4 linked regions of the Drosophila melanogaster genome follow. The protein of the gene in region 3 interacts with the protein of the main gene of each other region in a pairwise test. Each region holds a gene or a part of one and is shown on either strand. Other genes may lie near its edges. The genes, in order: TfIIEbeta, CG14143, CG13445 and CG13540.

Region 1 (3,817 bases), about 12 Mb from region 3:
GAGTCGTATGAGCTATATTTTTGTCTATACTGAATATCGGATCTCTTGTTATAATCTTAATAGATTACAAATAGCAACACAATCTTTTTTTAGATTTGTAGAGTCCAATATATAGATAATTTTCCTGATAAGCCCGCACAACCGCCGTACCAAAATATAGGTTATTCCAAATCGATTCCAACTGAACTTGGCTGCTGTTCAGTGCAGACTAAAGCTACGGCTTCCCTCTGTTGCCAATTTAACTGCCCACCAGCATCGATTCTGGCCCTCGTACACGCACACCACCAGCCATCAGGTGTGGAAAGCAATGGGGAATGTCAGGAAAAGATTACATAGTTTTGCTTTTTAATTATCTTTCCCTGTGCCGGTCGTCATATTTTTAAGTTCAATGCCACAGGCAGAACAGCAATCTGGTACTATAAATCTTGAGGAATGAGATTTCGGCCACAGCGGATTCTTAATTAGATTGGCAGTGGTTAAACAAATTTATAACATCCAGTTTCGAGTGTACTTAATTCCATTGAGAGTGGTTTTTATTTGTATAATCTAATGTCTCTATTCTACGTTGGGTTCACACCCTTCAGCGTTAGTGTGTTATCCTCGTAGACCTCCAGAACGTCGGCCAAATGTTCGTTGTCTCTGGGCTTCTTGAACTGCCGCTTCTTGTTGGCCGCCTTCTTGCGCTTGGGAATTGCTTTCTTGAGGCCATGGTCCTGCATGGAGCGAATGCCCTGCTTCTCGAGGTACTCGTCAATCTTGGCGTCGTCCATTGCATCGACCGTAGCCGAGCGCCATAGCTTCTGGAACTCGTCGTCCACCTGAGACGGTACAATTGATTAGGCTGGGATTTTAGAAGAGTGTGTTTATAACCCACCGAAAAATTAGCAGTCCTGTCATTGTAAAATAAAATCTTCTTTTTGTCAATGGGTCTAACAACAAAAAGTATTTCGGCTGATCGGTTCTTCAGCACCTTTTCGCAGTGTGGTAGAGATTCCTGGACATCGTCCAGCAAAATGCCGCCCAGGCCCTTTAAATCATGTTGCTTGAGCAGACGCATCAGCGTTTTGCCATCCTTGATCTTGTAGACTGGCTTGAAACTGAACTTGGTGCCACATGGACTGGCTTCCACCTTGGGATTGTTGTGCAGAGCCTCGCTAGCAAGCCACTAAAATAGAGGAATAATGGTTTAATAACCTGCCACAACTTATCACGCACTGTAGCTAACATTCTTAACGGATTGCCCAATGTCCAGCTGGTTGGTCTCGTCCAGAATCTCATCGATGGTCAGGGGATGGTCGTCGCCGTCCTGGTGACGTGTGCGCATGAATTTCACAATCTTGGCCAGCACTCCAAAGCGGTACTGGGAACTGCCGGACATGGTCTTGTATCTAAGTATGGAATGCAAGAGTTCCACATGGTTAAGAACCATTTCTGGCAGTAGCAGAGGCTCTCAAGGAACTTACGTTGTGGCATCCAGCCTGGGAGCATTGGGCGGGCGCATTTTGCGCCTGGAATCATCGCTAGGCGGCGGTGGAGCTGGTCTATCGGGCTTGGACTTCTTTTCCACGCTATTTTAAAAGGATAGCATGTAATTTTCGAGAAGCAATCTTTATCAGAGGGGCCACAAGTGCGGTACTCACGTGGGCGTGGCCATCGCCCGCTTTTTGAAGGCCTCGCGTTCGCGAAGCAGTGCTGGATCCATTTCGAATGTTTTTTTTTATTATTTAGCTCTACGAAAAAAAACTTTCTGCTGCGAGAAATCAACAATTTACAAAATCTAAACAATGCCTGCTCAGCTGTCCGTGGAACCGGAACTTACCAGGGCTGCGACACTGAAGTTGTACATTTCGGAACTGGTTCATTTAACGACCTTTCAAAAAGTCCATTCGCTTTTAAAAAAAAATTTATTATATATATATGGAAAATCTGCATAGCGAGAATTAATTTGTTTCCCATTTCGCTTCCAAAGAAAAAAAAAACATTATTCCATTTAAGTGTATTTATTGTTGGCCTTATACAGTAGAATATCGTTTATTTAAATCTAATATATGAAAAGAATAATTTTTCACGCTGTGGCTTAGCGTGAATTTACGAGACAGAGTTGATACTCTTAAGAAATTCATTGCGTTTGAATTTATTGCTTGGCTGAATCTCGTCGGAATAAGTTTGTAAGAGTTCAAGTTACACAGAGAGTTCGTTTCTGTATCACGGGTAGATTCAAAAGTCCCCTAAGCGGTATGAGTACACATATATACGACACTATGCATATATTGTGTATATAGCAAGAGCATTGCGGTTTCGTTGGCTCCGTTTAAAGGTCGTATGGGTTATGGGTCTTTCTACGAGTGCTCTGTACGAGACCCACTTGAGTTAGTCAATTGGTAGAGAGTAGTCAACGGGTGTGGTGATTTCGTTGGCCTGTTTGGTTTGTTCACCCGGGTATGGTCTTCGTTCGCAGTTTCCGTTTCCAGTCTGCGTTCTCCAGTCCCCGTGGTTCTGGTTCATGTGGCATTCCGTACGGAGAGTGTTGTTGTGGTGGTGGTTCTTGTTTGGTTATTGGTTGGTTGTTGCGTTGTTTGGTGGTTGGTGGTCAGTTCAACTGTTTTTATCGGACTGTATGCTCAAGTTAGTTACGTTTTCGTACATTGCGTTCTCTGTAAGTTCTTGGTTGTCAGTGGGTCTGTGGAGATAGAAAGATAAAAATGGTTTGGCTTATTATGTTCGCGCTCAGTGGGCGGCATGGGTATCGTGGACATCGATGGCCAACCGGTGCACAGGGCAAGTGCAGCAGGCGCACATTGTCTTAAATCGCTAAAAGGTTTTCGGTTTGGAATTTGCACAGCTACTTACCTCGTACCACGGCACACACTCAGTTCAATTATGGCTACATTAATAGATACGGAATTTATGCATACTCAACTAGCTACTTACACTCAGTTCCGTCTCAATCGCTTGCGACCGCCATCATCGCCGTCGGAGCCACTTCGCTCCTCAGCCTCCATGACCTAAAGTAAGATAAAAATTTAAAATTGATTAGAATTGCTTGCTTGTCAGCAACAGAACATGAGTACACGGTACAAACCTTGATTTTGGTGCCGCAAATTTCGGCTCCGTTTAGGGTACGAATGGCCAATTGAGCACTCTCAACCTCCGCATACTTGACGTAGCCACAGTTCTTGTTGGGCAGAAGGTAGACGTCGATCAGTCCCGACCAGCAAGAGAATATGTTCTTCAATATCGAATGCGGCAAGTTCTGAGTAGATGGGAAAGAAACAACGTTTATAGCTAATGGTAATTGGACACGGTACAGTGATACCTACCGCTGAGAGCACAATGAACAGTCGTTGGGCCACCTGGTCGTCCGGCGATGCCAGTGGCTGAGTTGGGGGCAAGGGAACATTGCAGATGGCATCCTTTTTGGTTCGCTCTAAAATAAAAAACCACATTAAGTCTAGAAATAGGAAATATCATGCATTTTAAGCCAAAAATGTGCTAAGAAATAAACCAAGCAAAAGCGTTTAATAAATGGCTACAGGTGATGGCGCGGCCTGTAGCCCTTGATAGGTTTAACTCGCGTACTGTCTATGAAGGATGTGTCCATGCGAGCTGAGCTCATTCCATTGACTTTGACAATGATGCGTTCGCCCATTGGGTACTCCAGGCCATGAAGTTTGTCCCTAAAGAAGAATAGTGTTTTAAAGCCTGCATGAAAATGAGTTTTAGGGCTTTGTTTACTTGGCATAAATGGCGGCTTCTGGGTTGTCGTACACCACTAAGGCCTCATTGGTGCGCGGTCCATCTACAACGGAGATATAAG
Region 2 (3,066 bases), 4.7 Mb from region 3:
GCAGCAAAATGGACGCAAGTTGCAGGAGTGCTTCAAGCGGATGCAGTCGCCCAAGGAGGAGCAGAAGGTACTACCTGTTTAGTGCTAGCTAGCTAATTCGATTGCTTTGCCTAATCTTCGATTCTTTCCACTTACAGAGCAAGACGAACTCCATTGGCACGGACTTGGAAACCGGATCGACCAAAGCCACAAATAACAACCTTCAAGTGGTGGAGAGCGGCGGCAGCCTTGATCTTATGATCAGTTCCACTTTATCGCCCAATTCCAGCAAGGTTCCTCTGATCGAGAGCAAGGAGGCGCTGAATGAGCAGGAGGAGGAGCTGAAACGAACGACGGGCGGTGGACGAAGAACCAGTGGCGCCGAGGAGACTCCGGAGATTTCAATGCTCTTCTCGTTTCTGCAGATCCTGACAGCCACATTTGGCAGTTTTGCGCACGGCGGCAATGATGTGAGCAACGCCATCGGCCCACTGATTGCCCTCTATATGATCTATCGCGAGGGATCGGTTATGCAGCAGGCCGAGAGTCCCATCTATATTCTGATCTACGGCGGCATCGGCATCTCTGTGGGTCTCTGGCTGTGGGGACGACGAGTCATCGAGACCATTGGCAATGACCTTACGAAAATAACCTCATCGACGTGAGTATTCAGTTCCTAATTTCCCTTATCCTTTCACAAATAGAACATTCACTTTCAACTATTTTTCAGTGGCTTTACTATTGAAGTCGGAGCTGCCATCACCGTACTGCTGGCCAGCAAAATTGGCCTGCCCATTTCGACTACTCACTGCAAGGTCGGTTCGGTGGTTTTTGTGGGTCATGTGAGTGCATCAGGTCGCAAGAAGAAGAGTCAGCCGAATGATCAGACCGATAAGGAGACCCATAACGAAGTTGCGCCCATGGATGATGGCAGTGTCGATTGGCATCTATTCCGGAATATTGCCTATGCATGGATCGTAACGGTGCCGGTTACGGCGCTCCTCAGCGCCGGAATGATGTACGTGCTGTGTGCCATCGCCGTGGACGACATGGGTGGGGCCTAAAGATGGAACAGAGATTGCCATTCAATTATTAATTGTAATTGCAAAACCAAAATAATGTTTCGTAATTGTACAAGTTGGAAAACACAAAACTTAAATATTAAACACGCAAAAGGAAACTCAAGAAAAAGTGGTAAAATCTTAACTAAATTACTCGCCTAACTAAAGCATTGTATTTAGCTCATAGAACGTCTCTGAGTCTAACTGATATTAATATTATTTAATATGTGTGTACGCCAAGCAAAGCCGTGATTTGATTTTATATCTATACACCTCGATTTGATTAGTTTATACCCGAACTTCACATTACTTAAAATGCATTTGAGACTCATTTGTAAAGTTAGTCCCAACCACTCAAGTTATTTTACACCAATTAATAGATCAGAGCAAAACATTTGAATAAAATACAAACTATGTGCAACAGAAAATGTTTATACGTTGTGGTAAGACCAATTTTTATTTTATATTATCTTTTTTTTTCGTGTCAATTTAAATTGCCGTCTTTATTTACAATTCGTACACTTGGTTCCAAGTTCGGTTCGTAACAATTCAAAACCTTATGTATAAGGCTCTCCAGTCCGATTTAAATTTACATTCCATTGAGAGTCAGTTCGTAAAGTATTTCACTATGTAGTTATACGGAAAATAAATACGAAGTTATGACACAAAAAAAAATCTTTTATTTCAATACTTTGGCTACCCACCCAACTTACATCCGTTTCTCTAAGAAATTAGTATTTTAAAAATAAATGAATGGCGTATAATTAAGTGAGCCTCTGTATAAATAGCCTAATTATACATTGCGAAAATGTGGTATTGATCTCTGTTTAAGCAACCCAAATTTACTAAAACATCACATTCCGATTCGATTTAAAACGACTGTTTGCTGTTTGCTTAGGGAAAACATATATGAGATCTTCCTCTTGATTTGGCTATATATACGCCAGCTTCGCCCAGAAAGAAGCACATCAGTCATAGCAGTCTAAAACATTGTTCAAGATGCGATCCCAGCTAACTATCTTCCTTGCCATCGCGGCTTTCGTTTCGACTGCCTGGGCACTGACTTCTCCCGCCACGGTCACTGTTTCATCGGTCACTGTTTCATCGGTCACTATTCCATCGGTCACTATTCCTTCGGTCACTATTCCGACCACTGATACAGACACGTCCACCACTTCGCCTTCGGCAACCGGAAGCAGCACCACCGTGACTCCCACCACCAAGAAACCAAAGAAGAAGGCTACCGTTGTCCACTACAAGAAGAAGACCCACAAGTCGAACCGACGCCGCAAGTTCCGCCACTCACGTGATGGAAAGAGGAAGAACCGATCGAGTTGGGAATAAGAAGGACATCTCGTTTGGAACACCGCAGACCCTGAAGATCTACATGAACGACCCACACGCACCTTGTTAATCCTAATGTTACTTTACTCTTATTAAGTTCGCAATATTTAAATAAAAACATATTTAAAATTTTTTGTTTAATTATTGGGTTTTGTTTTTTACAAACTATGCTTTCAAAAACTAAACAAGCATTAATTCCATATAAATACCATGCAGAAAACGATATAAAGCTAACTGATGGACTTATACTTAGAGGATTACTTAGTAATATGTGGAGTAGACTAATAGTTATGGTTCAATAGTTATTCTTGATTATTGTCATAAGTTTGCACTTTTGCAAAATGGCTTTTGAGAACTATATGCACATGTTTAACGTGGCGGATGAGTAATATTATTTCTTAGTACTTGTATATTTGGAATTAAACATTTTTTAGTCCACATACCATTGGGTCGGTGAAAGTCTGAAAAACACAACACTTAAGTAAATATTTAACTTTAAGATTGTTGTTAAAGATAAAACATAGTATTTCGGCTTATAGCTCGCTATAACTTCGGGCCAGAAAGATGTCAACTTTTTGGCTTAATCGAAATGGTCAAGAAAGCCCAACAAAAGTTTTGTTCCATGTGAAAAAGCTTTGGTGGGAAAGCTTTTGAGCGCGTGGCGCTCGAAGAAAACGGTAGC
Region 3 (2,634 bases):
AAATGGATAACAAAAGTTTTTAAATCCGATTAGCTCTGATCTCTTTCTAGAGCAATCCAAATTACTCGATCAGAAAGAAGCCACCCAAAACAAGATCATTAAATTTTAAACCATTTTTGTATTAAATGTATGTAAATGTATATTGGTTTTAAAAGCGTTTTGCGTTTTCTGTATCCTATTAATTAATTGTGTTGCCTGTGTCCCATCATTCCAAAACATTTGGTTTCAACTAAGTAGAAATTGCAAATAAATTATTGAACGACATCACTAGCGAGGTGAAAAAAAAGATCATGTAAAATTTATGTTTAGTCATAGTTTAAATATACCTTAAATATATTTAAATGCATAATACTAAAATGTTTAAATTAATGCAAATAACACTATAAATATTGTATGTAAACCATATTAAAATTGAATTAAAGATACTTTAAATTATGTTAAATAAAATTAATTATACAAATCATCGTTGTAATCATCGCTAAAATGTAACTATTGTGGGGCATGCTTTTTGGATGATTCCTGAGCTGCGGTATCTTTTGGGGGAAATAAAAAATCAGATTACGCTCACAAATATCGTATAATTTTAAAACTTTTCGCCATAACAACAAATACTATTTATAAAAACAAAAATTACAAAAACTGTTAACTAAATGATTAAGATTCATTGGAGGCGCTTTCATCGGAGACGCTTTCATCGGAGGCGCTTTCATTGGAGCCGCTTTCGTAGCCTTCAGGATACTCGATGATCAAAATTTCTTCGGATGCACTGCCGCTGTCATCATCCGCGGCATCGTCATCATCATCATCATCCTCCTGCAAGTCGTTGGCAGACTCATCCGAGTCCTGCGAGAATTCCCAACGGAAACGACGATCGCTGATCACATCATCACCCTTGTCCACAACATCCGAGGAGAGACTGGCGGCGATCACCATGGCGATGATACCTAAATTGGATAGACTTGGATGATTTGGTATCCTTTTCGTCGGCTTCCTTTTCCTAACTCACCAAAGAACACGAAGAAAACCTTGTTAGACTGCATATTTGATGATTGATTGTAGCTTGAGATGCTTTCGATGCTGAGTGAGCTTTTGGCTTCGGCTTATATACTAAAATTTTGGCAAGTGCCTTGCGAATCGTCTCTGACCCAGCAGACTGTGTTTGACTACCCCAAGATCAACGAAATGCCCCAAAATTCTACATAGAAACAACTAACAAAATATTAGCATAGCTATTGAGTTTGAGCGATCAAGGTCAGAGCTTTCGGGGTTTGCTGGGTGATTTGTGTTGTTAGAACCACGCTTCAATGCTGTAAATTGGGTTGCAAATTAGGTGGCAGTAAAATATCTTAGAGATACACTAATTGAATATACTTAATATTAATATAAAGGTCCATACAAATCCACACACATGCCTTCTAAATCGGTAAATGAGTGTTTTTTTTAGAAAAAAAAAACAAATATTATAGACATTTTAATTACAGTCATGCTTTTCATTTAAAAGGGTAGAATTTTGGAAATATAAGTACATTTTCCAAAACTGAAAGCTTATTTTGTAGCAAAAACTATTTATGATCCTAACTAGTTTTAATATTGTGATTTGTTTTTTATTCATTTAATTTTAGTTATATAAAATGTAAGGTCACAGCTCAAAAGTATGCAGCAGAAACGTATGTATGTAAAATATTTTGTATAATACACGCGTATAAGTAGAATTCCGTGTATATTTGAAGTATAAGAGCAGTTTGCTTAAGGCTTTCTGCTTATAAGTTTTCAAAGTGTTTTCACATGCTTTTAAAGCGTATTAAAAAGTGTAAATGGTTAGTTCTCCTCCTCGCAAGCATCAATCCAATCGTTGAACACATCAATTGCCTCCGTGAGATAGTTTATATGTGTTTGAAAAAATTCTTGGCACACGGTACAGGTAATTCTTCCTATTTTTTTCGCCTTATCTCTATGAATACTATGAAATTAGCGGAGTAAAACCAAATTTTGATTCCTACTCACAGTTTCGCTTCACATGACTGCTTGTGATTGCAGAATGGACAATCGAAAAGAATGGGCAGCGGCTGAATATTTTTCTTTCTTGGGGCTCCTTTGCGTTTGGACTTGCGACGACCCATGGCAGAAGATCAGAAGATACGATATATTTTAATATTTTAATTGCAATTTTTTAATTAATATGCTCTTGCACACTTCTGACTCCACTTTCGTCAAATTATATTTTTGACAGTCGTTACTGCGGGTTCTTTTATTATGATTACATTTTAGCTAGAAAAAAGCTGTTTAGCTAGGTTGTAAAAAATCAACGGAGATATAAATCATTTATTTGATGTTTTTAATTCCATACTCAAAAAGCGTAATAATGATTTTATTACACGTAATATATAATAATAATACATTTTAAAATACGTAATAAGATAATAATACTTTTGGGAATTTATATAAATATAATTTTAAAATTATATCCGTTCAAAACTAAAAACATCCTAATGTGAACTCACTGATTTGTAATAATCTGTTTAATACTCCTTTGCCGCTTCTCTGTTTTTGTGTGGGGTTTCCAGTTGAATAATTTCAATGTTGATATTGATCCGTTTGGATAGCGAGGATCTTCAATTGATTGAGCCCACATAA
Region 4 (2,674 bases), on a different chromosome or scaffold from region 3:
TGCATATCGATTTTCATGCTCCGCAATCGCTTTGGATTATTCCGTAATTAAACGCAAATGCAGGCACCAAACTCGCGCTTTCGCCGCCTCCAACAACACTATCTCATACCCTACTTTTGACGATTCAAAAGTAATGTATATAGAGTTGAATAACGGAAACCAAATGAATTCTGATTCAGAGTTTTAAAAAACTATGGTATATGCTTACACTTTTTGCTACTGTTCGGTAATTACAGGGTATCTGATAGAGCGCCTGCTTCATCGACTGTGGCATTAAAGCCTCCATTTGTGCGTTGCAATTTGATATTCCGCTTCTCTGTTTTTTTGGCCCCATCGATTGTTGCTCTTCCTGGCTGTTTTTGTGGCTCCGATTGCCGGTTGGTGCATTCAGTGGTTGATGATTTCACCTTTTTCGCTCACCTCGTTGCTTTGATCGGTTAAATGTTAATGACTTTGTGGAGCGTATCTCCGTCGAAAGTGGAGTTTTTTGTTTAAGGCCCAAATGCGTGGCAAATTGCTGGCAAAATGAATCACTATCGGGAAATATATTAAAGCGCGTAATGGCTTTAAAACTTTTATAACATCATTCTCATCTCGAAAAAATCTTAGCTATCGGTCTAGTTTCAGCCGAATGCTGCTTTCCTCTCAATTTCGATATTTAATTTAAGCGCCACTGCTGGTTAAGCACTTGTTTGCTGGCCAAATTTTCCAAAACATTTCACTTCACGCGGCCAGAGACCTTAAACCACCGTCAAGCTGCTTATGTTGTTTGCATTTTGTTAAGCAAAAAATTAAATAACAGCACCCACACACACACACACACTCGTGGCCAGAGGGGCGGTAAGTGCTATTATTTGTTATTTGGTAAACGCAACAAATGAACCACCCATGTGCAAGGGAACATGGAGCTGGTTGCATGGAACTGGGAGCAGGGAGCAGAGGACCCGCAGAACGACCGCGACGGCAGTGGCAAAAACAGCAACAAATAGCAATATCTGCCAGGACACGGGAAAGAGGACATGGGGACCTGCATCCAGGCGTGGCATCATAATTAATTCAAATTTGAATTTCCTTTTGGCGCAATGCACGCGCCATTTTACATGATGGGTGGCAGTGCCACGCCCACATGTGTGGCATGCTATGACATCGGGGCTCCGGCATAATAAACTGTTTAAATATTTAGTCGAAACGAGTTTTTAATACTCGCTAGCGCTTTTAGCAGCTGCCAGCGGTCAGTGAATGGGTCCTCGTGGGTTTTGGGTTTTGATTGGGTCAAAAAGTCGTTGAAGACACTGAAAGCAGATCCTTTGGCCACACCGATAGTTTTCAGCCAAGAAATCAAGAAATACTGCGAGAAGAAGATGCACCAGTTGAACCTGAAACCTATTATTATTAACTATAGTTTTCTTGTATACCTCCAAATGCTAAGTTCCAATTTGGTTTTCATCTAACTCTTTTTATATCGAAATACTTGAAGTAGGGGAACATTGTGCTTTAGTGTTACCAAGGCAAATTTAAAATTTGTATATCTGGTATATAGCCAATCGACCGACAGCCTTACCCTTTTGCACATTCATGGAAAACCCTAAGAGCCCAGTAAGTAACCTTTTCAAATCAGTGAAAAGTGGAATAAAATATTGATCCGTTGCAGATGGCCAACGATCCCGGTAAGCCGGAAAAGTCCAGGCCACGCTTCTGCACCCTGTTGAACCATGAGGTCGTCGATCCCAAAGAGTTCATGGTGCACTTCGCCAAGCGGAGGAAGAATGAAATCATAATCCAGGGTCAGGTCTGCGGTTGGTGCTACAACATAGATTACTTAAAAGATGAAAAAACAAAGTTCAAGAAGAAGCGGCCCAATCTTTCGGATGCGAGCGTCACCAAGCAGCGCGCCACCTCACCACGAAGAGGAGCAATTGCAGACAACCCTCGTCAATTGGGTGGTGATCAGCACTGCTCGGAAAAGAGTTTTGCGCCCTCTGGTGACGAAATACCCACACCACGTGATTTGAAGGACAAACCTGGTGACCTTGCCTAAGGTCCGATACTGAAGTGGCCATAAAGCGATTTCAATTTGTAACATGTTTTCATTGATATAATCCAATAAATGATACGCCGGCTGTCTTGAAATCTCATTTAATAACTTTCAGTAGTAACATCCGGCCCCTTGGCAGCCAGGCCGGCGTGCGATCTTCTCGAGGTCGTGCACGAGGTGCGAAATGTGGCATCCAACGTAAACAAAATCTGTGGCCAGATAACAAATATAATAATATGCATTTACTGATGGCCCACATCTACAATAGATCTTAAGTATTCCCACAATTGGAAGGAAAGAACATTCATTTATTATCTGCTTATTTATAAACCTTGAACTTATGATATAACAGAATTTAGAAAGAATAAATGAGGATGAAATATACATATACATTTCTCCATATGATTATGTAAATGGTGTAATAGATTAATAATGCCATAGGATAGGAAAATCTTCGCCTCGCTTGTGTTCTTGTATAAAAAAAAAAATAGAATGTATAACTAAAGATTGTGTTTTCAAATGAATGATGTACCCCATCAGCGTCCAAAATAATTGCCCCAGTAACCGCCAATCACTCAAGTCCGTCCGCCAGTCAGTCAGCATTCCATCAGGATGTATCTCCGGGCTCTTGGCTTTGCA

Evidence for each region.
Region 1: the proteins of CG13445 (region 3) and TfIIEbeta interact in a two-hybrid assay, tested with the Drosophila melanogaster proteins (one large-scale study listed by BioGRID).
Region 2: the proteins of CG13445 (region 3) and CG14143 interact in a two-hybrid assay, tested with the Drosophila melanogaster proteins (one large-scale study listed by BioGRID).
Region 4: the proteins of CG13445 (region 3) and CG13540 interact in a two-hybrid assay, tested with the Drosophila melanogaster proteins (one large-scale study listed by BioGRID).

Annotation. Positions count from the first base shown.
Region 1 is NT_037436.4:4,285,035-4,288,851, reverse strand, and holds TfIIEbeta (transcription factor IIEbeta), read right to left. Parts: upstream 1,815-3,817; 5' UTR 1,703-1,814; coding exon 1,641-1,702; exon of another isoform or gene 1,569-1,640; coding exon 1,464-1,568; intron 1,389-1,463; coding exon 1,226-1,388; intron 1,166-1,225; coding exon 875-1,165; intron 819-874; coding exon 561-818; 3' UTR 503-560; downstream 1-502. Other genes in the region: CG1316 (uncharacterized protein), read right to left, coding at 2,934-3,005, 3,083-3,253, 3,321-3,427, 3,580-3,677, 3,736-3,799.
Region 2 is NT_037436.4:11,132,958-11,136,023, forward strand, and holds CG14143 (uncharacterized protein), read left to right. Parts: upstream 1-2,029; 5' UTR 2,030-2,039; coding exon 2,040-2,384; 3' UTR 2,385-2,523; downstream 2,524-3,066. Other genes in the region: NaPi-III (Na[+]-dependent inorganic phosphate cotransporter type III), read left to right, coding at 1-67, 138-640, 710-1,043.
Region 3 is NT_037436.4:15,807,904-15,810,537, reverse strand, and holds CG13445 (uncharacterized protein), read right to left. Parts: upstream 1,054-2,634; 5' UTR 1,041-1,053; coding exon 1,007-1,040; intron 945-1,006; coding exon 655-944; 3' UTR 561-654; downstream 1-560. Other genes in the region: CG6244 (uncharacterized protein), read right to left, coding at 1,819-1,951, 2,005-2,120.
Region 4 is NT_033778.4:23,268,933-23,271,606, forward strand, and holds CG13540 (uncharacterized protein), read left to right. Parts: upstream 1-1,544; 5' UTR 1,545-1,575; coding exon 1,576-1,596; intron 1,597-1,651; coding exon 1,652-2,038; 3' UTR 2,039-2,127; downstream 2,128-2,674.